Drosophila melanogaster: one gene and its partners. Changing the gene in region 2 together with the main gene of any one other region gives a genetic interaction. Each region holds a gene or a part of one and is shown on either strand. Other genes may lie near its edges.

What was found.
Region 1: of Raf (region 2) and pnt, changing one enhances a phenotype caused by changing the other (phenotypic enhancement), as found in Drosophila melanogaster (2 studies listed by BioGRID).
Region 3: of Raf (region 2) and ksr, changing one enhances a phenotype caused by changing the other (phenotypic enhancement), as found in Drosophila melanogaster (2 studies listed by BioGRID).
Region 4: of Raf (region 2) and cnk, changing one enhances a phenotype caused by changing the other (phenotypic enhancement), as found in Drosophila melanogaster (2 studies listed by BioGRID).

Annotation. Positions count from the first base shown.
Region 1 is NT_033777.3:23,343,163-23,347,710, forward strand, and holds the start of pnt (pointed), read right to left. Parts: upstream 3,006-4,548; 5' UTR 2,236-3,005; intron 1-2,235.
Region 2 is NC_004354.4:2,293,706-2,298,496, reverse strand, and holds the start of Raf (Raf oncogene), read right to left. Parts: upstream 3,032-4,791; 5' UTR 2,539-3,031; intron 2,344-2,538; 5' UTR 2,144-2,343; intron 1-2,143.
Region 3 is NT_033777.3:5,477,875-5,485,526, reverse strand, and holds ksr (kinase suppressor of ras), read left to right. Parts: upstream 1-1,620; 5' UTR 1,621-1,889; coding exon 1,890-4,790; 3' UTR 4,791-5,537; coding exon of another isoform or gene 5,538-5,681; 3' UTR 5,682-5,744; coding exon of another isoform or gene 5,745-5,894; 3' UTR 5,895-5,954; coding exon of another isoform or gene 5,955-6,140; 3' UTR 6,141-6,205; coding exon of another isoform or gene 6,206-6,409; 3' UTR 6,410-6,484; coding exon of another isoform or gene 6,485-6,641; 3' UTR 6,642-7,137; downstream 7,138-7,652. Other genes in the region: Hcs (holocarboxylase synthetase), read right to left, coding at 620-797, 868-1,199, 5,538-5,681, 5,745-5,894, 5,955-6,140, 6,206-6,409, 6,485-6,641.
Region 4 is NT_033778.4:17,413,995-17,421,566, forward strand, and holds the start of cnk (connector enhancer of ksr), read right to left. Parts: upstream 6,014-7,572; 5' UTR 5,475-6,013; coding exon 5,417-5,474; intron 5,254-5,416; coding exon 5,090-5,253; intron 5,031-5,089; coding exon 579-5,030; 3' UTR 1-578.

The DNA of each region.
Region 1 (4,548 bases), on a different chromosome or scaffold from region 2:
TCGCGAATTCCACAGTTTTTTTTTTGAAACCAATCAATCATTCATATGAAAATAAATTCCTCAAATGCAGATAAGTCCAGAGGGAAAATCGAGGAACAAATGCGTAAGTTTGAAAGTGGCACATTTTTCAAAAACCGCCTTCAAATCGCAGCATTTCGAGCACCAAAAATCATTCGGCAGGGTGCCAAAAACGAGTCGCAATCGCTAAAACTATCTGAACAAAAAACCTTATCGCCCCGACACGTAGATAACCGAACCGAAAAAAAAAAATAAAATAAAATAAAATATTATATATACGTATGTATGAGGGAGAGCGAGGGCGACAACAAAAAACCACACGAATCGAATTGAAACGAAAATCGGAGCATATGTTTTCCCTGGAAAAGAGCAAAATTTTTTGGGTTGGCCCATAGTAAGTGGACCAAACGAGTGGAAGATGTCTGGCAGTCCGAGTTTTTGATGTCTGGAGGAGAGTCTGGGCGCAGCAGATGCTTAAAGAACAGATTGTAAACGAATATGATCTTTTGATATGGTGCGCACTCCTCGGCCAGACGACAACGACAGCAACAACTAAAACACCAGCAGCGGCAACAAATAGGGGTGCAATTTTTCGATGTGTACGTAACGGTAGAATACACATTTAGTCGCTGCTCTTTTCTTTCCCAGCGCCTGGCCCTTTTTTCCTCGCGCTGAATGTAAAGAAGGGATCTCCGATCCGCTGATGATCCTCGGGATGCCTGCCTGTGTACACATGTGTTGTTCTATCTGTCGCAGAACAGTCCGAACTGCATGTGTGTGCGGAATATCTATGTGTGCGGAGTATCTGTGTGTGTGGCATATCTGTGCGAGTGTGTCGTCTTGTCTTGTCATGGGATCGATCTTGATCTCGGCCTGTCTGCAGCAGGTTGATACTTTTAGCATCGGTCCGGGCACAGAATCCGAGTTTAACGTGGCATGGGGCAACGAACCAGCCCGTCGAACATCCACTGAACTGTAATTGTCTGTGGGTATTTATGGAAAAGGATCTTGAACTGGTCTTTCATTTCGGACCAGACGCTCGAGGAGGGAAAGGGAGAGGAGCGGTTGGCGGTAGCTGGGCTCAATTATGATCCGACGATCGTCACACATCAAATTATCGATTATGGCAATAATTTCTTATCATTCCCTTGTGTATTTTGCTCGCAAATTGGTTTTTTTTAAATAGCCCAAGGGATATTAAACATGTCTTTAGAGTAGTTCAATGATCGTAACTCCTTAAATTATCGTTTTTTGGCTTTAAGACTGCGATAAGGACGTAAATCAAGTTTTATCATAGAAATAATAACAATTGATCTAAGCAAAATCTTATTGTAAAATTAATCATTTTAATGGTAACATTTTTATAAAATATGATATCGGTTAAGCCTTTAACTATCCTTTGATCTTTTTTGTATTAATAATTACTTTAATTTACATCCCAAATTGTAAGATCCTTTTAAAAACCCTTTCAGGTAACCCAAAGTGCAGAACAGGAAAGCCCCAATTATACATACTTTAAAACCGAAAGGTCAAAAGAGTAGCACTCCGGTATCAGTTTTATTGATACTTAATTGTCTAATGCGATCGCTGTGCTAGATTCTTGACCCTAACCAAAAACCGTTCACACATTCTCGATTACCAAACCCCTTGGATTGATGGCCCGAAACGCGATCGTGGGGCAGGCGAAGCTCATTTGCCGCACCGGAAGCTGTAAAAGGAACAGTAGTAATTTCGAGCGTGTTTCCCACAAGGGTTGTGGAAGTGCCCCACACACACACACTCACGCACACTGGCGGCTAACTAGCTTGGCTATGATGCCGAGTAGAAAACCAATTCAAATTCTGTTGGCCTGGCCAACAACGAGTTTATAGAGGCAGCAATCCTGAATCGAGGCGAGATCGCGAGATCGGCGGATCTACCGAGCGGTAGCCAAACCAGTTTTCTCCTAGATTCATTCAAGAAAACAGGCAACACCAACACAAAAAGGGTTTACATGCACTCAAAAGAAACTCTCTAAATTTCATATTTTTAAGATAAATATGATTTAAAAGTTATATTTCAAAACTATATATCAACAGCAATTAAGAGATATATGGTTTATTATTTGTTTTCAATTGTTTTGTCTTTTAATTTTCGCTGGATTTTTGTTTCGAGTGTAGGGAAAATAACAAAAACTAATACTTGAACTACTGTTTTTCAACACTTCACTTTTCTTACCGGTGCGGGGTAATAAAATAGCGCCCCTTCGTGAACAAGAAGGCGGGGGCTACTGGGCTCTTGATTTTTGGTTTGTGGGTTCTGGATTCTAAAGACCGTCTTTCGGTTGGCTTTTTATTAGGGTATCCAAATTAATTACAGCTTCAAATTAGGCGCACAATCTTGATGGACTCCGCAGCACCGATGACTATCTCTTGCTCGTTCTCTCTCTCTATCACGCTGTATAGATGTGTATGTTTTAACCCTCCGGTGGGATCAGCAGGTTGATTAGGGGGAGAGAGAGAGGGATTACGTGCCGGGCACAAAGACAAACGAAAAACCGAAAGGAACAACTCGAGAAGAAATCGGGGATCGGTTTAGCTCGGCTTATAAGACGCGAAAAGAAACAAACCGAAAAAAGGCCGACGGATCGCTGGCAAACACACACACGCGCGCGCACACTCACACTCAGGCACTCTCACGCGATGTTTGAGGAGATTTTTGTGGTTTTATGATGAATTTCGTATATAGAAATTGGTTTCCTGTGTTTCTGAACCGCGTTTTTTTTTCTGTTGCTGTTTGCCTTCCTTTTTTTGATGTATATTGCGCGCGCAGATCTTTAGATGTTTTGCTATTGCACTCATTCACTTACACACTGGGTTTTTGCTTGGCTTGCAAAGTGTTTTGCATTTGTTATTTATTTGTTATTTGATTCGTATAATTCATTCAAATCGAATTTACCGTAGCGCAAGTGCACGCTTCCCGAAAGAAAGACAAAAACAGACTGACCGACTGGCAACAGGCGGCAGCGACGCCGACGTTGGCGCAGACGCAGCGTTGACGCCAACGCCGACGCACCTTCTCTCTCCGTTTCTCTCTCTCTTTCTCTCCGCTGCTAAGATTAATATTTTTTTGTGTTGCTCTGGCAAGTGATAACAAAAATGGCAAATAATATGAAAATCGAGAGTTATATCAATCTGACTTATAAACATTATTCGCTATTTTACTTGATCGCTGGAATGAAAACGAAAAGGCGTGGGTGATCCTCAATCTCGCTATCTCTTTCGCACTCGCACTAGAGCGTGCATCATGAGCGCAAGAAAAAAATGGAAATCAGAATTACATATTTCGAGCAGCAAAAACAAAGTGTTTGCAGCGACAAAAAAATAGCAACAATTTATAAAAAAAATCTGCTTGCTCAGAACTCAGTGTAAGTGCGAATATGCGAGAGAGTGTGTGGGTGCGTGTATGTGTGTGTGTGTGTGTGTGCGGGCGATCGTTTTTGGCAAGCATTTAAACAGTGCCCAAAATCACTAGTATATTTAAAATATTTAGTATGCAAAGGGGGCGGAATAATAAAGACAAATATTTTAAAATTTGGCAGTCTCAGTCTTTCAATTGTGTACACTGATATAAAAATTTATTTATTTTGATTCTGGATTTTATACAAATCTATATTTTTGACAAATAAAGTAAATTGGTCAAAATATCAGTTCCAGCTTATTTAAAAGGAAAATTATACTAGTTTCTTTGTTATAATAATTAATAAAATATTTATTTAATATGAAATAATACCTATATGAAAATTTTGATGTGAGATTAAATTATCAACTTATTATTATCATTATTAAAGTTTGCACACAATGTGGGAAAGCTGCAGCTTGGGAAAATACTTTTGGACACCCCAAAAAAAGTTAAGCGCGATATTTTCCCACCGTGACCATGACAACCACTGTGCGTTCGAAAGGCTCTCTCTCTCTCTCTCTTTCGCGCAAATCAAAAACACAAACAGGTTTATGTGTGCGGAGAGTGTGTGCGACAGAGAGCGGCGATATGGAACTGAAACGACTGCAATGTTTTTATATTCCGGCAACGCATTTCGCATAAATTACAAATTACACAGCATAAGTGAATGCAAGTGCAGGGGCGGCAGTCAAATGGCCAGCTGCACCCAGAAAAAGGGCAATAAGATTCGGGATAACAAAACTTGATGGCGTTCCCGATTTTCCCGGCCAAGGGAGCGTATATGTACACATAAAAAAAAAAAACTTAACCAGCCTTGCATAACGAAACACGTGCAATAAAAATATGGCTGATTGTCAACCTCTGCTGCAACTTAATTGCTGCCGCAGAGGTAAAACTGAAAAACATAAAAGGGGGCGACAAGTGCAGCAAGCGAAAAAAAAGAACTCAAAGAGCGCATGCGCGCCGCTCTCCCACTCTCTCTCCCTCTCTCCACTGCGCTGGAATCTTACAACTCGTGTAGGTGAGCCGGATTTTTATGAATGAATGCGCCTGTGTGCGTGACTGCATGATGCCATTGCAGCGGAGAAC
Region 2 (4,791 bases):
CACCAATCATGAGTGAGTCACAGTGATTGACACAAATTTCTAAACAGTTGTGTATGGTGTTTCTATAAGTTATCATTTATGTATTTAATTTATGTATCATCCAACGGATACCAAAAAGAGCGCATTATCGCAAAATCGGCTGATGAGTCAAAGAAAACACGAGGTCTTCACGATTAGGGTTCAATATCCCATATTCCAATGGCCCTTTCGGGTATTTCCACATTTCGGTACATACCCTTATCTTTTCTCCTCTTCGTTCACCGTTTCGACGATTGAAAGGCGAGCAATTGGATATTGAAAGTGGTATTGGAATTAGCTGTAGTACTGCGCTTTCAATGGGGATCATCCCACTCAATTAACGGTGCTTTTCATGGGCTTAGTGAGGACTTAAAACAGAGGGGCATCTTAACATTTATCAACAAATTAGCTAGTTTTTTCCTCATTCTTGATGATATTATAAACCAACTAAAGAATTCGAGTGCTACATATGTATTAACAAATATCCCTCTGCCTAGCTACGCCCGAGCACTACACCACACCCCCCCCCCCCACAAACGCTGTAATTACCGTTAACCAAGCCTAGCATTGTCTTTGGCCCTCTGTAACGTAACTGTAACTGTAACTAGCGCGCTTTCTTTGCTCTGCCGACGCTGACGCCTCAGCCACTGTCCGTTTTTGGGCTACTGGCAGCAGGTACAGTGAACACCGAACGACGATTCATGGTCGTTTTAGTGCCCACAAATAAGAGAGTTGGTGCCATTTTTACTTGTGAATAGTGCAGAATTGGTGCGGGAAAAATGAGAGAAGAAAACCAACAAAAATCTTAATGAATTACGAAACACTAGTCACTTAGCGAGTGTCTGCTGTACACTTTGTGCTTCATGAATGAAGTGGAGTGCGGGGAGATTGGCGACTAGACAAAGAGTATGCCGCTGGCCCACCCTCTGCCCCCGACGAGTCGGAAGTGACGATGAGAGCGGCGAGAAAAGAAAACAAACTGTTGGCGGCTGGTTTCTCAGCGAGAGAGTTTGCCTGAGCGAGCGAGGGAGCCTGGCTGCCGGGGATGAGGATGTTTGGCGGTGAAGGGGAGGCAAGGCCGCAATTAATTACAAACTCACCCAGCTGTCCCCACACGTTGCCCCCGTCTACCAGCTTCTGCCACTTCCTCTTCCCCCCCCCCCCCCCCCGCTGCTTCTCGCAAGTCTGCATCCGAAAAGTGGCACGTATCAATGTTGAAAGCATAAACACACAAAGAGACCAACGAGGCGCTCTCTCGCCAACGCCAAAGCGAAGAGCAGGAGGAGGAGCAGAAGAAGCGGCGAGAAATGCAAATGCCTACAAAAAACAACAGTTCTATCCAAAGTTAAATAGTTCACTTCGATGTAATGCATTCCCGTCTACTTTTCCAACATTAAACGAAGTCATCGAAAATAATTGTGATATCACACCCTTTATATGTACGTTCTACGCACATTTGATCCTTTCATTATCCTTTTTTCTTGTTGCTCGCCTGACCAAATTACAAATGACCACACAAACATGTGTTCGAGTGCAGGAACAGCCACCTTGCATAAATGGCAACTGCCCATACGTAATACGTAATCCGTACTACGTACTGCGTATGTACATATGTATGTACACACATGCAATGTTCATCCTTCCTCCTTTTGGTTGCGGATGATACCCACTGAAAGTAGAGTTGAAACGACTAAAAGTCTAACAATGCCCACTGCCCCAAGCACTGTCGTTTCTTGAATGCAGCCAAATCAACAAACATCACGGGAAGAGCGTGTGTGTGTGTTTGCGAGTGTTTGCGGGCCGACAAACATGCGCAGGCTGAAATCTGCTGACGACGCTGAGGCGGCATTTATCACTCCCAAAAAGCGTTGGGCTCCGCAGGGGGGTGAGGGAAGGGTACGCGCATTGGGAGTCATTGATTTTCGTTTATGAGTCGGGCAGGCGACGCTCTCACTTTTTATACGTTCATTCACACGCGGCACAGTGGGCCAGAACAAGAACAAATGGACAACAAAGCATTTCGGATGACAAGAATTCGAAGCTAAGACATGCGTACAATTAAACTTTAGAAAGATCTAAAAAAAAACCCTTGATATTGACTTAGGGTGGTTTCAGCCCAACTTACCTGTGGATTAACACGTTTGCCAGGTAAATACTGCGATTTGTAAGATTTTGACTTTAAGACGTTGGATAATCCCCGACAATCCGTTGATATGCGTTACTCCATGAAGGGCTTGAACGCCAAGCATTTGTTGGCTTTATGGTTAAAACACAATAATGCAACAATGGGTCATCAACTGCCAATTTATCCCACTGTGCTCTCCGCTGAAGTGAAGTGGCCGATGCAAAGGCAAAGAGAACGTTCCCATCGCACAGAGAGAGGGAGAGAGAGAGCAATCAAGAGTTGAGAGAGCGACTAAAAAAGGTGTAGGAGTCCGTGGAGGGGGGAAGGAGGGACAGAGGATAATAGAAGGGGAGGAGAATGGGGAATTTAAATATGTTATTGATAATTGAAATTACCGCGCGCCCCCGCTGCTCATTCAAATGCAATTTTGTTGCAAAGTTTCGATTTCGTTGTCACTCCCATCCTCCGCTTTTTGTTATTCCTACCTGCACATTGAAACGAAGCGAAATAAAAGCGCGTGCTAAGGACTTAATGGCAGTGCACTAAAAACATCTTCAAATTCAAACGGAATAAAATTGAAGCGAGGCGCTGATTTCGCTGCCGCTGTCGACGCAGGTAGCGGTGTGTGTGTGTGTGTATGTGTGTCCGTTTCGGTTTTTATTTACTTTGTTCTGCTTGTTTTTTCCAGTCTCTCGTTTTTCCTTTTTGTTTTTTGGCTTCTTTTGTTATCGGGCAGCAAATTGAAAGCAATAAATACTTAATTGTTAGCTTGTTGGTTATGTTGTTTTTGTTGTTGCTGCTGCCGCTTAATTACGTAATTCCGAACTTATCTGGGCGACTTTAAGAAAATGCAAAAGAGCGCCAAGCGTGTGGCAATGGGAATGGAAGAGGGATGGAATTGGAATGAGACGCGAAAGAAATCAAAACGGCCCATTTAAGCAACACAAGAGACACAGAAATTATGAATAGAGGTGGGGAAAAAATGTAAAACCATTGAAAATTTGTCAATATCGAAAGTGGGTCTAAGTCAAATGGCAGGAGTACGTGTGATTACAATTTTTTAAGATAATCAAAAACGTATGTACGTACATATGACTTATGTACATACATATGCTCATATATGTACATATGACTTATGTACATATGTACATATGCTCATATATGTACATATGTATGTGTGTGTGGGCATTATAAAAGATGAACTACTGAGATCGAGATCGAGTTGATGGCACTATACCAAGAAACGCGCGCAGGCAAATGTTTCTGGCTTATTTGTCCTCTTGTGACACAATTAGCTGATAAAGTTCCTGATGTTTTTCCCCGCAGCGTCTGGCATGTGAATCATCATCGTCATGGGAGCTTTTGTTTCTGGGAATTTCAATTTTGAATAAACAAAATCAAAACGAGAACTTTACTTCTTGCGGCTAAACACTTTGCACAAACACGTGCAAACTCTATGTTTGCATTTGCGTGTGTGTGTGTGTGTGTGTGTGTATGTCGTCATCGACCGTCAGCGGCGCCTTAATAATAGTACACAAAAATGATAAACAAAGATCCCCCCACTCACAGCACTCGACCCCTCCAGCCATTCACAACGCACGCTCATGAACTCTTCCCTTTCTCTCGCACTCGCACTTGCACTCGCTCTCTCTTTGTTTGAGTGCAAATTTGCATTGTCTCTTTGTGCTCGCACACAAACATATGTATGTATGTACATGCACGCAGACATAAGTGCGCACATAATCACACACGCTGACTAGTGCCAAACTGACCTCACAATTGTTGTTGTTACGATTATTTGTGCCCACTTTCTTGCTTTTGTTGTTGTCGTTGTTGTTGTTGTTATTTTTCGGATCATGCTAAAACTGTAAATGATGAGATGAACTTGTTGAAGAGGATGAATCGAGCTGGAAACGGGGAAGGGGGTTGATTCGAGCTCGCATTTCAAAACCTCAAAATACATAGTTTATAGACCTTCTACAGAGTCATAAGCACACATACATACATACATCCATGTATGCATACATCTTTGAGACAACACTTAAAAAACTATTCTACTTGGATTCTGATTCGCAAAACAGACTATAGGAGCCACTCTACAAGCATGAACATATGTATACATGCGCATATGTGTGTATTTAATTTTGTTAAACCCGTTAAGCCGAGCCGATAAGTTCAAGGGGTTACCCCCACGCCTAATTTGGCAATTTCAATGGATTCGAATGATTCCATGTCAGCGCCGTGTGGATTTCTCAATTAGCAGTTGCCGCAAGTGTAGGTGATTGCCTTAGCAAGTACTTTGCATAGCCAAATCCAGCCAAAGTCACTATTTTTACATAATAAAGGGGCAGGAGCAACAACTATGCGGATTATGCTCATCACCGAAGCGCCCAACCACTCAAACACCCACGACAACACAAATACACCACCCACTGACCAGCGATTTGCTTCCGTTACAAATGAGTAAAAATCTTTGCGACAAATATACATACACATGTACAGTGCAGGTGGAGAGAATAGCACTGAAAATGTAATTACAGTTTTAAGATATGTGGGAATATTGGAAAAATTATGTTAGCAATTTGCAAGTTGGAACTAAGATTATTGTGTCTGTAAAGATTGTTAATGCAATATGTCAATTAACTTAG
Region 3 (7,652 bases), on a different chromosome or scaffold from region 2:
TGACAATTTTATAGGAAACTACACTGTCAAGCTCTCTTTAGTTCAGTTCAAAAAAATTTTAAAAAATATAACTTTCTAATGAAAGTTCAGTTCAAAAAAAAATTTTAGAAGAATAATAAAATAAACAATTTTAGAATAAAAAAATTATGTAATAAAAAAATCCATCTTAAATTTAAGATAAGACCTGTGCGGCAGTTAATCTCAGTGGTCTAAGGTCAGCAATGATCGAATATGTATTTATTAAATTCAAATTTCAAAAACACCCGTATGCAGAGGAATCGATGGCGATAACAATGGTAACAAACGCGATTATCTTACGAAGTAATTTCCAAACACTGGTTTATAGGGAACAAACAAATGTACCTGTCATTATAAATATTTTGAGACTTCCTTTAACATATAATTCTCTTTGGCAGTATTTAATTTAGTGGATTAAATTATCCATTATTATTTCGTAAAGCCACTTAAGAAGAATCACCTTGTAAATATTTATAAGGATAAACGTTTTTACGTAGTTATAAATTGACCTAAATTTGCCTAAAAAGTACAAGTTGCTTAAGGGCCAATTAAACTAGAGGGTTCGGGGAATAATATGAGTTTTCACATCTGCTTCATTTCACTATTGATACTTGGGTATAATCAATCCCTTCAACATATCAAAGCTGTTTCCATCGGGCTGCACAATTTCTATAGTACCAGTTGGTAATTTCACCTCCAAAAATCCAAAGTCATCGATTCCCACAATTTCGGCCTCTTTTTCCTGATCTTTTTGTAGGCAAATCTTAACAGATTGCCCGCTGTACATAAAAACATGTTAGTAAATGTAATATGCAAATTAAATGTATTTTAAAAATGTTTTAAATTTACCTGTGTAACCATAGCGAATAGTATAATGCATAAAAACTATCAAAGTCTCCGTTTTGTACTTCTCCCAAAAGTCTTTCGATTTCATTGAATATCATGGCAATAAGTAGCTCGTACTTAAGTATAGGTAACTTGTTGTTCGGGACACGGGTATTATATTCTCTTATCAAGTCATTGATGCAAACTGTTGGTCTTGAATTGTTCAAATTAATTCCACTTCCGATATTGACGATGGCTTGGGATCCCTGAAGTGTGGTATTAATGACGAGGCCCCCAATTTTCTGATTTCCATTTGCATAAATGTCATTCGGCCACTTAATGGAAATATCCAGCACCTGAAGGTGATATGAATAAATTAAGTAAAACTCGCCTATCTCCGTAATATTACATATCATAAAATATAAATTGGAACATCAAATATTAACTTAAAAAAATTATTTTTAGTTATAAAATTAAAATATTAAAATAATATCTACCTAATTTCCATTTCCAAATAATAAAATATAAATATTAAAATATTTGACTTATTTCGACTAATAAAATAAAAATGTGAAAATAATTTCTGGATTAATTTTTCAAATAGAATTGAAATATATATGCTATATACACTCGAAGACATAATATAATTACAACATAAGAATAATAATACTTAACGTTCTATTTTTTTTAAATACAGAGGAGTGCCCCTAAGTTTTTCGGATAAGTGCTTTTAGTACATTTTGGTGTGCAGTGAGAAGGAGTCCTCCCGGGTATGGTCACACTTCTCTCGATGCGCTACTTGGGTGTAGAGAAATTTCAACAACAGCCGAGGAACTTGTACAAATTATTGCTTTTTCGCATTGCCTAAGCCGTTTAGAGTTGCGGGCGTTAGCGTGCGCGATAGCCGGAGCACCGAACGTCAAGGTCGCTTGGCGAGGGCCACAATGCGGGGCGGAGTCCCAGCCATTGGTCCCATCGAATCGTCGAGTCCCCGAGGGGGCGTCTGAAAAAATCAATCGGGCTCCACTCCGTCGCGAATAAGCAGGATGAGCAGCAACAACAACGCACCCGCATCGGCTCCAGACACGGGCTCCACCAATGCCAACGATCCCATCTCCGGTTCGCTGTCCGTAGACAGCAACCTGGTTATCATTCAGGACATGATTGATCTCTCGGCCAACCATCTGGAGGGCCTGCGAACGCAGTGCGCGATCAGCTCCACGCTGACGCAGCAGGAGATTCGTTGCCTGGAGTCGAAGCTGGTGCGATACTTCTCCGAGCTGCTGCTGGCGAAGATGCGGCTAAATGAGCGCATCCCGGCCAACGGGCTTGTGCCCCACACAACGGGCAACGAACTGAGGCAATGGCTGCGCGTAGTGGGCCTTAGCCAGGGGACTCTTACCGCCTGCCTTGCTCGCCTGACCACTCTAGAGCAAAGCCTGCGTCTCAGCGACGAGGAGATCCGTCAACTCCTGGCTGACAGCCCCAGCCAGCGAGAGGAGGAGGAACTGCGACGCCTGACCAGGGCCATGCAGAACTTAAGGAAGTGCATGGAGTCGCTGGAGAGCGGTACTGCGGCTAGCAACAACGATCCAGAGCAGTGGCACTGGGACTCCTGGGACAGGCCCACCCACATTCATCGCGGCAGTGTGGGAAACATTGGACTGGGTAACAATTCAACCGCCTCCCCGAGAACCCATCATCGCCAGCATGGTGTCAAGGGAAAGAATTCCGCTCTGGCCAACTCCACCAACTTCAAAAGTGGCCGCCAATCGCCCTCAGCGACAGAAGAGCTGAACAGCACACAGGGTTCCCAGCTGACTTTAACCCTTACGCCCTCGCCACCCAATTCGCCCTTCACGCCTTCCAGTGGGCTGAGCAGCAGCCTTAATGGAACACCACAGAGGAGTCGTGGTACCCCGCCGCCAGCTAGAAAGCACCAGACCTTGCTGAGCCAGAGTCATGTGCAAGTGGACGGGGAGCAATTAGCCCGCAACCGTTTGCCCACTGATCCCAGCCCCGATAGCCACAGCTCCACCAGCTCGGACATCTTTGTGGACCCAAATACTAATGCCAGCTCCGGAGGAAGTTCCTCGAACGTGCTTATGGTGCCATGCTCTCCGGGCGTGGGTCACGTGGGCATGGGTCATGCAATCAAGCATCGTTTCACCAAGGCCCTGGGCTTCATGGCCACCTGTACCCTGTGCCAGAAGCAGGTCTTTCACCGCTGGATGAAGTGCACCGACTGCAAGTACATCTGCCACAAGTCATGCGCACCGCACGTACCGCCCTCCTGTGGACTTCCACGAGAATATGTGGACGAGTTTCGGCACATAAAGGAGCAGGGAGGATACGCCAGTCTGCCGCATGTGCATGGCGCGGCGAAAGGATCCCCTTTGGTAAAAAAGAGCACCCTGGGTAAGCCCTTGCATCAGCAGCACGGCGATAGCAGTTCGCCGAGTTCCAGCTGCACTAGTTCCACGCCCAGCAGTCCGGCGCTGTTCCAGCAAAGGGAGCGCGAGCTGGATCAGGCGGGCAGCAGCTCTAGCGCCAATCTGTTACCTACGCCTTCGCTTGGCAAGCACCAGCCGAGTCAATTCAACTTTCCCAACGTGACGGTGACGAGCAGTGGCGGAAGCGGTGGTGTATCGCTCATCTCCAATGAACCAGTGCCAGAGCAATTCCCCACGGCGCCTGCAACAGCCAACGGAGGACTTGATAGTCTGGTGAGCAGCTCCAACGGGCACATGAGCTCGCTCATCGGTAGCCAAACTTCAAACGCTTCTACTGCGGCCACCTTGACGGGCAGTCTGGTCAATAGCACAACCACCACCAGCACCTGCAGTTTCTTTCCGCGAAAATTGAGCACAGCCGGTGTGGATAAGAGGACGCCGTTCACCAGCGAGTACACGGATACCCACAAGTCAAATGACAGCGACAAGACAGTCTCCTTGTCTGGAAGTGCCAGCACGGACTCGGACCGGACACCCGTTCGTGTGGATTCAACGGAAGACGGAGACTCGGGACAATGGCGCCAGAACTCGATCTCACTCAAGGAATGGGACATCCCGTATGGTGATCTGCTTCTGCTCGAGCGGATAGGGCAGGGACGCTTCGGCACCGTGCATCGAGCCCTTTGGCACGGAGATGTGGCGGTTAAGCTGCTCAACGAGGACTATCTGCAAGACGAACACATGCTGGAGACGTTTCGCAGCGAGGTAGCCAACTTCAAGAACACTCGACACGAGAACCTGGTGCTGTTCATGGGAGCCTGCATGAACCCACCATATTTGGCCATTGTGACTTCATTGTGCAAGGGCAACACCTTGTATACGTATATTCACCAGCGTCGGGAGAAGTTTGCCATGAACCGGACTCTCCTCATTGCCCAGCAGATCGCCCAGGGCATGGGCTACCTGCACGCAAGGGAGATCATCCACAAAGATCTGCGCACCAAGAACATCTTCATCGAGAACGGCAAGGTGATTATCACGGACTTTGGGCTGTTCAGCTCCACCAAGCTGCTCTACTGTGATATGGGCCTAGGAGTGCCCCACAACTGGTTGTGCTACCTGGCGCCGGAGCTAATCCGAGCATTGCAGCCGGAGAAGCCGCGTGGAGAGTGTCTGGAGTTCACCCCATACTCCGATGTCTACTCTTTCGGAACCGTTTGGTACGAGCTAATCTGCGGCGAGTTCACATTCAAGGATCAGCCGGCGGAATCGATCATCTGGCAGGTTGGCCGTGGGATGAAGCAGTCGCTGGCCAACCTGCAGTCTGGACGGGATGTCAAGGACTTGCTGATGCTGTGCTGGACCTACGAGAAGGAGCACCGGCCGCAGTTCGCACGCCTGCTCTCCCTGCTGGAGCATCTTCCCAAGAAGCGTCTGGCGCGCAGTCCCTCCCACCCCGTCAACCTTTCCCGTTCCGCCGAGTCCGTGTTCTGAGGGAACTGCAGCATGGCCACTGTCACTGTCTAGTACAATTTCGATCTACCAACTAAGCTAGCTCGCTTTGTGCCCTCGTCCACTCTACACAAACTCTCTCCCAAGGCGAAGTTCTATCGAGCCGAGCGAAGATTGTAAATACATAAACGTAACTACCAAATTATAGCAATCCATTTTAAAAACTACATACATATGTGTAGGCATGTATCGGGAGCACTCCAGTTGCAGTTGTTAGCAAACGAAACAAAGGCAAATCAAATGTTAACTCGAAAAAGACAAAACGCTTAAATGTTTAAGAGCAGAGGCAAACAGAGAAGGCATAGACATACATATACAAACAAACAAACAAGCACTGTGGCAAACATAAATGTAAACGTTAATCAGGTGAGCAATTTCTAAATTGTTAATTATGTGTAAGAGAACTATATATATATATATATATATATATATATATATATATATATATATACATGTATATACAGCAGCAATGTATTGTATATGACGGACTAGTGTTAAATTAAATATATATTGTGAATTATGTATGGTCAAGTGTATATAGTAAATGGACTTTAAATGCGAAATCGAAACAAAATGTCAAATAAACTTATTAAACCTAAAAAATCACTTTGTGCACTTGGCAGTTTTACAGATCCTGAGGTTCGTCCCATCGTCCCACAGGCGGAGATAATCGAAACAATCTTAACTTAAGATTCAACTAAATGGTAAAACTTTACAGTCTTGACTCACCCCGTACTCTTCATGACTGCGGAGCGAATTAACAATCGCCGTTCCAACAAGGTGCTGCAACAGAGGCAGCCGAGAGCTCAAAGCGCTGTCCATGGTCAGGTGCAGCTGCAGCGAGAACATGGCACAGCCCGGCGGACTAAGCCACTGGAAAGCACAAAGCGATGATTTCAACAAGAACTTAAATCTGGATGCTTCTAGAGTACTAACTTGATTATTTCTGCGACCCACTCCGGACGTCTGCTGCACGGGGAGCACAGCCAGGCCGTGGATGAGCTCCAGGTTGTTTATGAGATGCATGGAGCTGCTGACCACCGGTGCATAGATGACCAGTCGTCCGATGTGTTCCGTCTTAAGATTCTTTAAAATAAGAGGAATTTGGGTTAATTCTGCTATAGACTAGAATTAGAATGCGCTCACATCGAAGTAATCCACGGTGGAGAAGTCATCCGGACAGGAATGTATGAGTATGGGCAGGACATTGTTGTTGGCCACTGGAGGCTTATCGTCCTTGCCACAGAACTTCATCGTCAGGTTCGGCGTTGCTATCACGTTGTCGGATCCGCTGCAGCGCAGACGTAGCTTCTCCAGAAGCTCAAACTTGGCCTGAATAACAAAAAGAGCTAGAATATTGGATTCTGATGCCAAAACAAATGGAGAGACGAACTGACCTCGTGCCGACCTAGGAAATATGCGTGCTTGTAGACAACTCCAGGCTGCGGCTGGTCGACACCGTCTCCACCGCGGACCTGCACATCCAAGTACTTTCCCAGGAGATCCGCAAATATCTCGAGGCGAGTTCGCTCGTTTTGCTTTAGAATGGAGTACTTAGTCTCATCGGATTCAAATTCGCTGGGATTCATTTCCAAGTGCACCTGTTTTTTTTTTTGTTTCATAGGAATGTTTTTTTTTAATATATGTTTGTTATATTTACATGAGCAATCACTTACTTGGGAGAAGACGGCCTTTCCGCCGCTCTGCAGGCTTTTGGCCAACATCAAGCTGGGCGTATTCCAGGTTTCCTCGGTTCCCAGCACATGGACATCCAAATTGTGGCTGTGACCGGCCAGATCCTTCAGTTCCATGGACCTTGGACATACTAGAGCTCTGAGCAGCGTTTCGTGGTTTGATTTGTGTTTTTTTTTCGATTTTTGTTTGTTTTTGGTTTGTTGTTATTTTAGTTATTGGTAGGATGGATTATAATAGTGATAGCACACACATATAGAAGCACACGCAGAAATTTAAGGATTTAGAAGGTAAACGTAGCAGGATGGTGAAAAGGTTTGAAATGCCAAATGTTTATAACACAATTAAACAATTAAATTACATGGATGGCACATTCAATCGATAAAAAACAAGAGTTAAGAGAGCTTACAGAAAACATAGATAGGTTAGTTAGTTAGGCGGATTGAAAACGGAGTTTAGATAGATGGATTACAGTGCACACCGAATCAAATAGAAATTAAGCCATATTTAGAGTAAACGAGACCAATTTGAGCATGAAACATTTGAGAAATAAAATGAGAATTGGAATTGGTTAGAATCGGTTTAGTATAAGAACGATTAATTAGGATTAATTCATTTCATTTCAAGCCCCATTCAGAAAAAGTAATAATATACATAAATGAAACAAGACAGGAGGTTGGTTTCGGCAGGCCGAAGTTCATATACCCTTGCAGAAATTACATATGTATATGTCAAGAAAAAATATAATACAAATTAAAACGGGAATTATATATTCCATTTTTATTTCATTTATTTTTCGATTATTCCTATGGAAGCTATAAGAAATAGAGGACCGATTATTCCCTTTTCTTACTTACATATTTCAGGAGGAAGTCTTTTCATGCAAACAGCTTTAAAACTGAGAGGCTAGAATCCTTAAAACTGGATGAACAGACGGACTTGGCTGGTAAAACTGATCAAGAATGAAGAAAGTGCCTTTTAACCCTTTAAGCCCTGAAAACTTCTGACTGGAAGATATATACCTTCTGCAAGGGTCTAAAAAGTAAAGCGTTATAACTTGGCCTCTTTTTTACAATTTACCCGACGGCTGTGCAATAATCGACTTGAATAGGGCTTTCGGGTGTATAAAACATGCAACATTTCGGTTTCAAA
Region 4 (7,572 bases), on a different chromosome or scaffold from region 2:
GTATGCATGTATATTTCGTGTAATTGTGTATATATATATTTCTTGCATTCCGCTACAACATTTCTGGCTCCATTGGCGTCGCTGGATGCCATTACAATAATATCTCATTTCGCATAATAATATATGTATATTACACGCAATCTAGACACAAACTGTTGAGCAAATCAAACAGCTCGGATTAACTTGGTTAATCGCGTACAAAGGCAAATCATAAAGAACCGTCTTTGTTCGATGCACAGACTTCTAAAGTTATTCTCCATTTTCGCTATAATTCATTGTTTTGCTTGCGTGACTACATGTGTAAAACATTTTGCCTAGAACCGAAATACAATGCAAATAAGGCAGATTAAACATTTACATCTAAGTGGGTTTCGAATCGAAGGGATTGCAGGTATGCGTGTGTTTGTTTCTGGTGGACAGACAGGGAAGACGATCAAAATGAACAAGTTGTATACCTAAATCGTACGAGAATATCGCTATATATAATATATATATATATATCTATATGCGTGTGTATAAATACATAAGTAAACGGGGGCTAATCCCCGCGAGCATTCACAATAGTTTTCATCACACATCTAGGTCTGATGGTGTTCGCCGCCACTGGGACTGCTGTTGGTGTTGGTGTTGTTATTGGTGTTATTATTGTTGTTGTTGTTGTTGGTGGTGGTGGTGCTGGCGGTGGCACTGGTGGCACCACTGCTGCTGGGCGTCCGCATCACGATGCGGGACAAGCTGGTATCGCTGAGCGAGTAGATTTCCGGCTCAAAGACAGGCGGACACTCCATATTTGGATAGTCCGGCGTTGCCGCCTTCGAATCCACAGATCCCGAACTGGACACTTTTGGGGTGGCCGCACACTCTGATATCGTTGCCTCCGCTTGCTCCTCCTCTCTCTGCCTGCTGGTGTTGACGGGAGGCGGTGGCGCTGGGGGCAACGGCGGCTGCAAGCCCTCCGACGAGCACAAATTAGTGGTCGAGGTGGTTAGTATGCCAGGTCCACGGTAACTTCGATATCCCGCCTGATTGTGCGTGGGCAGGGTGATTTGGGAGAAGATCTCCTGATCGCAATCGGGATCCGCACTGCTTGGTGGCGTTACTGCCTGCTGCTGATGGTGATGGTGCCCGAACAGCGTGCGATGCAGCAGCGGTGAGCCCAGGAAACGATTCTCCTTGGAGGGCTTCGCCGGCGTGCCACCCGATATGGAGAGTTTCGAAAAGATTGGTATCGGGGCCGAGTTCTTGCGATGCGCATCGTACTTGGTGCCCACTATCTTGTCTCGCAGATCCTGATTGTACGTCTGGCTTTTCTTGATGCTGCTGCCGCTGCCGATTATGGTGACTCCATTGCCTACGGCTCCATCCAAGGCGTGATTCGATTTGGACTTCTTGTTCAGCGGCAGCGTCATAGTCATCGCATGACCCGGCCCACAGCCACTGCCCGCGGAGCCAGTTGAGTGCTTGGAAAAGGGAAACCGACGATCGCCGCTAGACTTTCCTTTGGACTTCTTTTGATCCGCACCGGATCCGGAACTCTTGCCGCTGCCGCCGCTGCTGTTCTTGTGCAGGAAACTGGAGAGCTGTAACTGCTGTGAGCGCAAGAAGTGCTTGGCCTTGCTGCTATGTTGCTGCTGCGTCTGCTGATGTTGTAGCTGCTGCTGCTGTTGCACATGCTGCAGGTGGTGCTGGTGATGATGATGATGATGGTGGTGCTCTTGCCGGCTGATGGAGCTAGTGCTCGGCTCATCCCCACATATCAGCTCGTAACCAAAGTCGCGCAACTTCTGACCTTCCTTAGTTCTGGTTCTCTTAATACTCTCGTCGTCAGGCTTAAAACTGATCTCGTAGTCGGGTGTTTTGGGCAGACTCACGCTCTGGATCTTGGGCAACTTTTCCAGCGGCTTTGTCACGCTGCTGCTCATGGCGCTCTGCTGACTGGCCGTGGATTCCGTCCGTGCGTGCTTGTGCTTCTCCACACCCAAGTGCACTCGATTGTTGTACATTTCCTGGGCCTCCTCCTCCTGTTTGCGCAGCATCAGATCCTTAAGCGTCACAAAGCCCTGTATATTATGGCCATGGTCGAGTGTATTACCCACACTCATCTTGGGGAGTAGTGTTTTCGAGGTATGGAAATCGAATTCCACCAAATTCGGATTTGAGGCGTGCAAGAAGTTGAATGGTGCCTTCTTCAAACTCGACTTGCTACTGGGACTCTGGCTCTGGCTCTGACTTGGACTCTCCTCGGAGCTCTGATGCTGCAGCGATGTGGGAGTGGCTGTAGGCGTGGGCGTTGGCGCTGGCGACGCGGGCGGACCCAGAATCGAAGCAGATAATGATACGGCAGACTCGGTTCCACTGACCACCGAACTCCTACTTGAGCTACGCGACAGTTTAGGACCCACCAAAGGTGGAATCTGTGTCGGCGGCATTGCGGGATCATGGTAGCCCGGTGTATTGGCACCAATCTGAATGCCAAAACTTCCGCCTGGCACCTTCCTATAGCTGCGGTATTGCTCCGTTGGCACAGGGATGTCGCTCGACGGTTTCGCTGCACTGCTCTTGAATGTATTCGTAAATTTGCGAAACGAGTCCAAGTAGCCGCGTTCATGCTTAATGGGTGCAGAGGAAGGTGGTGTTCCGCCAGATAGTGTCATCGACATGGACATTGACTCCTTGTTGCCTTGCGGCGAGGGCGTGCTTAAATTCTGGATCACAAGGGCATCGCATTCCTCGCCTGAGCTATCGTTCTCCGAATACAAATCCTTTGCGTCACCACCGCCTTTTGAACCCGTACTAGGCGGCACTTTGAGCGAAGCCTGGCGCAAGAAGTCCACCCATTGGTTAAGTGCGTCCAGCGACTCGGCCGCAAAGTAGAAGCTCTTGGCCGTGTGGTAAACTTTAAAGGCATGCGGTTTGGAGTGCACTTCTTTTGCCAATGAAACCGTAAAGCCCGGTAAAAATATTACCAAGCTGGCGCTGGTACTCTGCTTACTGCGAAATCCGTACAGTATCGTATCCAGCATCACGAAATAGATTCTCGCCCAGTAAGTCACTCCGCGATGATTTTTCTTGCGCCTGTACAGATGACCTTGGATATCCCCAGTCCCCAACAGCTTGAGATTTGTGTTCCGCCGCTTGGCCATTAAGCTGTGCTTCTTTTTAAGGGTCAGTGTCCGGGATTTGCTGGGCGTATGAAGCTCACTGATCTCCGATGGATCAACTGCGGCTGGTACAGGTACTGGCACGGGAATGGAGATACTGGTGATACTACTAGCCGGCTGCATGCTGGCTGGTTTTGGTGGAGGTGGAGGCACCGCCGGTGGCGTCATTTCCCTTTGCTTGCGGGGTCGCGGTGGCGGTGCTGGCGGTGTGACAAGCAGGAACTCCTTTCTTGGCTCAATCGCTGGCGGCGTATCCGATTCTTCACCCGAATTATCGTATGCCGGAGTACTATGACTCTTGTCTAATCGGCCCCTTCGACCTTGCTGCAACAAAGGCATGTTAATGGCCTCGGCCAGGGGCAAGTCCTGACCTTTTGTAGCCAGATTAATTGCCTCTAGGAGCTCCTCTGCGTTTTCTGTTTTGCAGTTGCGCAGCGTTTCCAAGGCGTCCTCGTCTCCCTCATCCGCAAAGGGAATCGGTTCAAAGGTCTCCAGTATGGTGTTCTCAACGTTACAGATAAATTTTTCATTCTTCATCACATAATCTTCCTTGGCGTCGAACCGAACTACTTTGCTGACACCCGGCTTGTAACGATCCACGAGGAATTCGCGCTGCGAGTCCTCCGTCAGCTGCTTTAGTTTTCGCGCCTCATGAAACATTCGCCTGGCCTTGTCCGTGGAGGTATCGCCCGCAATCCCAATGCAAGTGGTCGGCCTTGCTGCCATCTCTAGGCCATAACCGAAGGATATCGACTTATCCCGTATACTGGGCGAGCCAGGGTCGCAATTGGTGGGCGAACCAATTCCTGGCTTTCTTTCGTGCCACGATGGAACGACTAGATCCGAGTTTTTCAGGCTAAGATACTCGCATCCACAAATAGTGTTTCTTCGTTGGAGCAAAGCTCTTGGCTTTGGGTAATACAAACGGATCTCCCGTGCGGCTAGCTTGGGATCCGTTGGTGTTGGAATATCACTGCAACTGGAATCAGAGTCGGAGGCAGAGGACACTGGATTGGCCTTGGTAAGTACCTCCCTCTTCTCACTGCTTAGGGATTTACTGGGATCTGGCACCGCGCTTCCTGTTCCTCCTGTTGCCAGTTGCTCCGTGTCCAGGGTTAAAAATGCAGCACGGGGACTTGGCATCTGTGCCGCCCAGCGGGCGGCCATATTCCTCTTCTTGCTGGGCAACCTGTACGGCTGCATATAGATCTGTCCAAACATCTTTGTGTGCTTCGGCCGTTTCTTCACCGTCAGCACCACATCTGGAAGTGCTTCCCTCAGATGCTCCAGTACTGTGCGATGCTGCCAGCCCACAACGGTCTGGTAGTTGATCTGCACAATCTCGTCGCCATCTTCGATTTTTCCGGAATTGTGAGCTGGCGAGTTGTACTTGATATCCGTGACACGGTGAATGCCATTATAACTGGACTCTATGTTGAAACCCAACTCGGATTCGCGTTTTTTAAGGGTGACAAGGTTCAGAGAGGCTGGCTGCAGTACCATGGGATCAGATATGTCCTGGATTACAAAGTTGGCAAGATTCTCGAGCCGTTCCGCTGACTGTCGAATCGCTGGCACCGGCTGCAGGGCAAAACGATCACGGTGGGCAATTGTGGCCAGCTCCAGGCCGCATTTGAGCACATTGCCACAATACTCGCGGTACATCTCCTGCTTACGGAACGGTGTTCGCTCCAGGCTGCCCACCAATGGCTTTAGAGTAGCTATCGTCCTGGTAATATCGTGCAGTATCCGGGTATCGATCTTAGTGCTCTCCGCATGATTCCTGGCCAGTTCGCGATGCAGATTCTTAGCTGCCGTGGCCACATGCAAGGCCATGAACTGCAGATTGTCGTTTTTCAGGTGATAATGCTGGAATATCAAGCTCAATTAACGGGTTTGTATGTCACAATATTTGTTTGGGGTCTCACGAAGTTTCTTAAGTTCTCCACCGCCTCCAGCACGATCTCCTGATGGCCAATGCGCAGCATGCCCAGATTCTCCAGCTCGTATGGCCGTATGTTGAGCAACGCCCGTCCGCCGATCTCCTGCTTGGAGAACTCGTACAAATACCCCTTCATAGACTCATCCAGACCTGCGAGAATCAGGAAAACATAATTATTATGATGTGCCTGTTGAAACCTTGAACAAAGCGGAAATTCTTGTTGCACTTGTTGTTGCTGCTGCTTTTTGGGGCAGTGGCTGCGAGATGCAGTTTTTTTTTTCTCAGCTGCGCTTTCCTTGACCTCGAGCATTACCTTTTATCCAGTCGGTGACCTGGTCGGGCGTCCACTCGGCGATGTTGATGTAGGCCATCGCTGCTGCTGCTGATGATCCGCGCTGGGCCGCACCTACGGCATATTATCAATTCGTGCTGCAAAAACACTCGAACCAAGTTCAGAATTGCTATATTGTTGCGTCTCTCTGGTCCGGAGTGACCATCTTTTAGAGCTCGAACAATACTCGGTGCTCGTTAAATACTATCGAACTAGCGTGGCAATCGATTATTTAATGCATTTTAAAACTGAACAAAATGCAATTTATTCAAAGTTTCTTTAAGGGACAGAACAAGAGGAAAGAAAACTATAAATTATGATACTACTACATACTACTTTCTCCATCCAAGATAGCCAGGAAACAGCCACATGTTTCTGTATGTGTTTATTTTTATAGTCTTAATTAATATGAATTTGGCTTGCAGTGCAAGAGAGTAAGAGTAACAGTTATCGATAGAGGACCAACAAAAAATAATCGAATTGGTAATTGTCTCATGTTGATATATTTTCCGAGCACTACCGCTATTTACAACCTTTTATTTGTTAGTACCTAAAGATCATGTTGTAAGCTAATCTTTTAGAAACCACAAAGTTTTATGTAAAATATTCACTTATATTGACACAAGCTCGAAGTAATAATTATCAAACATTTAAAAACCCCGCTTCGGATTTAGCCATTCACATTCGAATTTACTGCAACCCAACAGCCAACAGCGCTTCGCAACACTGTCGCCGCCCCAATCAAACAGCTGAGCGCCTTGCGAATGGAATTGAATTGCCCCAAAACATATAAATAAATGCCTCAATGACAGCATCAAATGGAGATAAACAAGGCAATGAGCGTCCCTCCGCTCCAGTGCCTTTCCCCAGCTGACAATTAGCACTTTACTTGACCATTCAAGCTCGGGTAGATGTATACATATGTATGTATACGAAGGCGGCGCACGTTTTTCCAACGCAATGCCTTCAGAAACGAATCAGTCACTTGCTCGGAGAGGGAGAGGCACGACGAAGTAAATCACCGCGTGTTTTTTTCTAATCGCTGCAACTGGCTGCTGCAATCACTATTCTCTTGTCGAAATGTCTGTGACCCAGACGAAACAAATCAAGTTCTACAACCCATCGAGTTCCGCTAGCTCCGACAGGTAACGAACGACTTTTTAATGCCGCATTAATTCACGCACGGCCAAAAGTAAAGTGTGAAAATCCAACAGAAGTCATTAGAATGTGATACACACTCACACACACACCCGCGCACAAACATATCTAAAGAGCATGTGCTCCAAGTCATTCATCGTATGTACGTACGTACCTACTTACATGTGTGCGTCGTGGGGCCTCTAATCACGCAATATAAATAAATGCTGGGAAAATGGCATAGGGCCTGCGTTCGCAAACACCACTACATGTGCAAACGCATAACATGTGATAAATTCAATTTCGATATAGTCGCCGGTTGCATCGGATCGGAAGAGAGTGTGAGAGAGAAGGCAAAGCGAACACCCTGCGAGAACAGTTACAAGCTAGGGATGGGCGCGTCAGCGAGTAACTTGTAATGTTGCAGTTTGAAAAAATAATATTCATACCACAGAAACATTATTAAAATAACTTTGGTGCGATCCGTGGAATGCTATAAAAAATTACTTGTGTATAAGTATATGTAGCGTGAAATATTTTATGATTTTATGCGCCTAAAAATTAGAATATTTTTTTCTCTAACAAATTAAATATCCTTCACTTAACAAAAGTAAAAGAGACATTTGTTATGCAAATTTGGCTAAAATGTAGAGCACATCTTCGACTGAGTCGTGTCACGCCAAACCTCATGTACCACATGCCCACCTCTATGAAGGCTTGCGACAACAACAATGCAGAGACGACGCCGGCAGAGGAAACCGCAGCGCAGCGCAGCTTTTTAACCTTAGCTGCCTTAACACTTTTTCTTGTCATTCAATCCCCAAACGCCGCTCACCTCGCACTTCTCGCTACACCTTTGGCTTAATTTTTTGTTTTCATTAGTTATCGAATAAATATTGGCCGCAACGCAAAAGGTGAATCGCTGCGTACGAAATAAAAACTCTAAATCACATGTGATCCACGCCGGCGGCGATTCGCGTGAGCGTTGTGTGAGTGAGTGA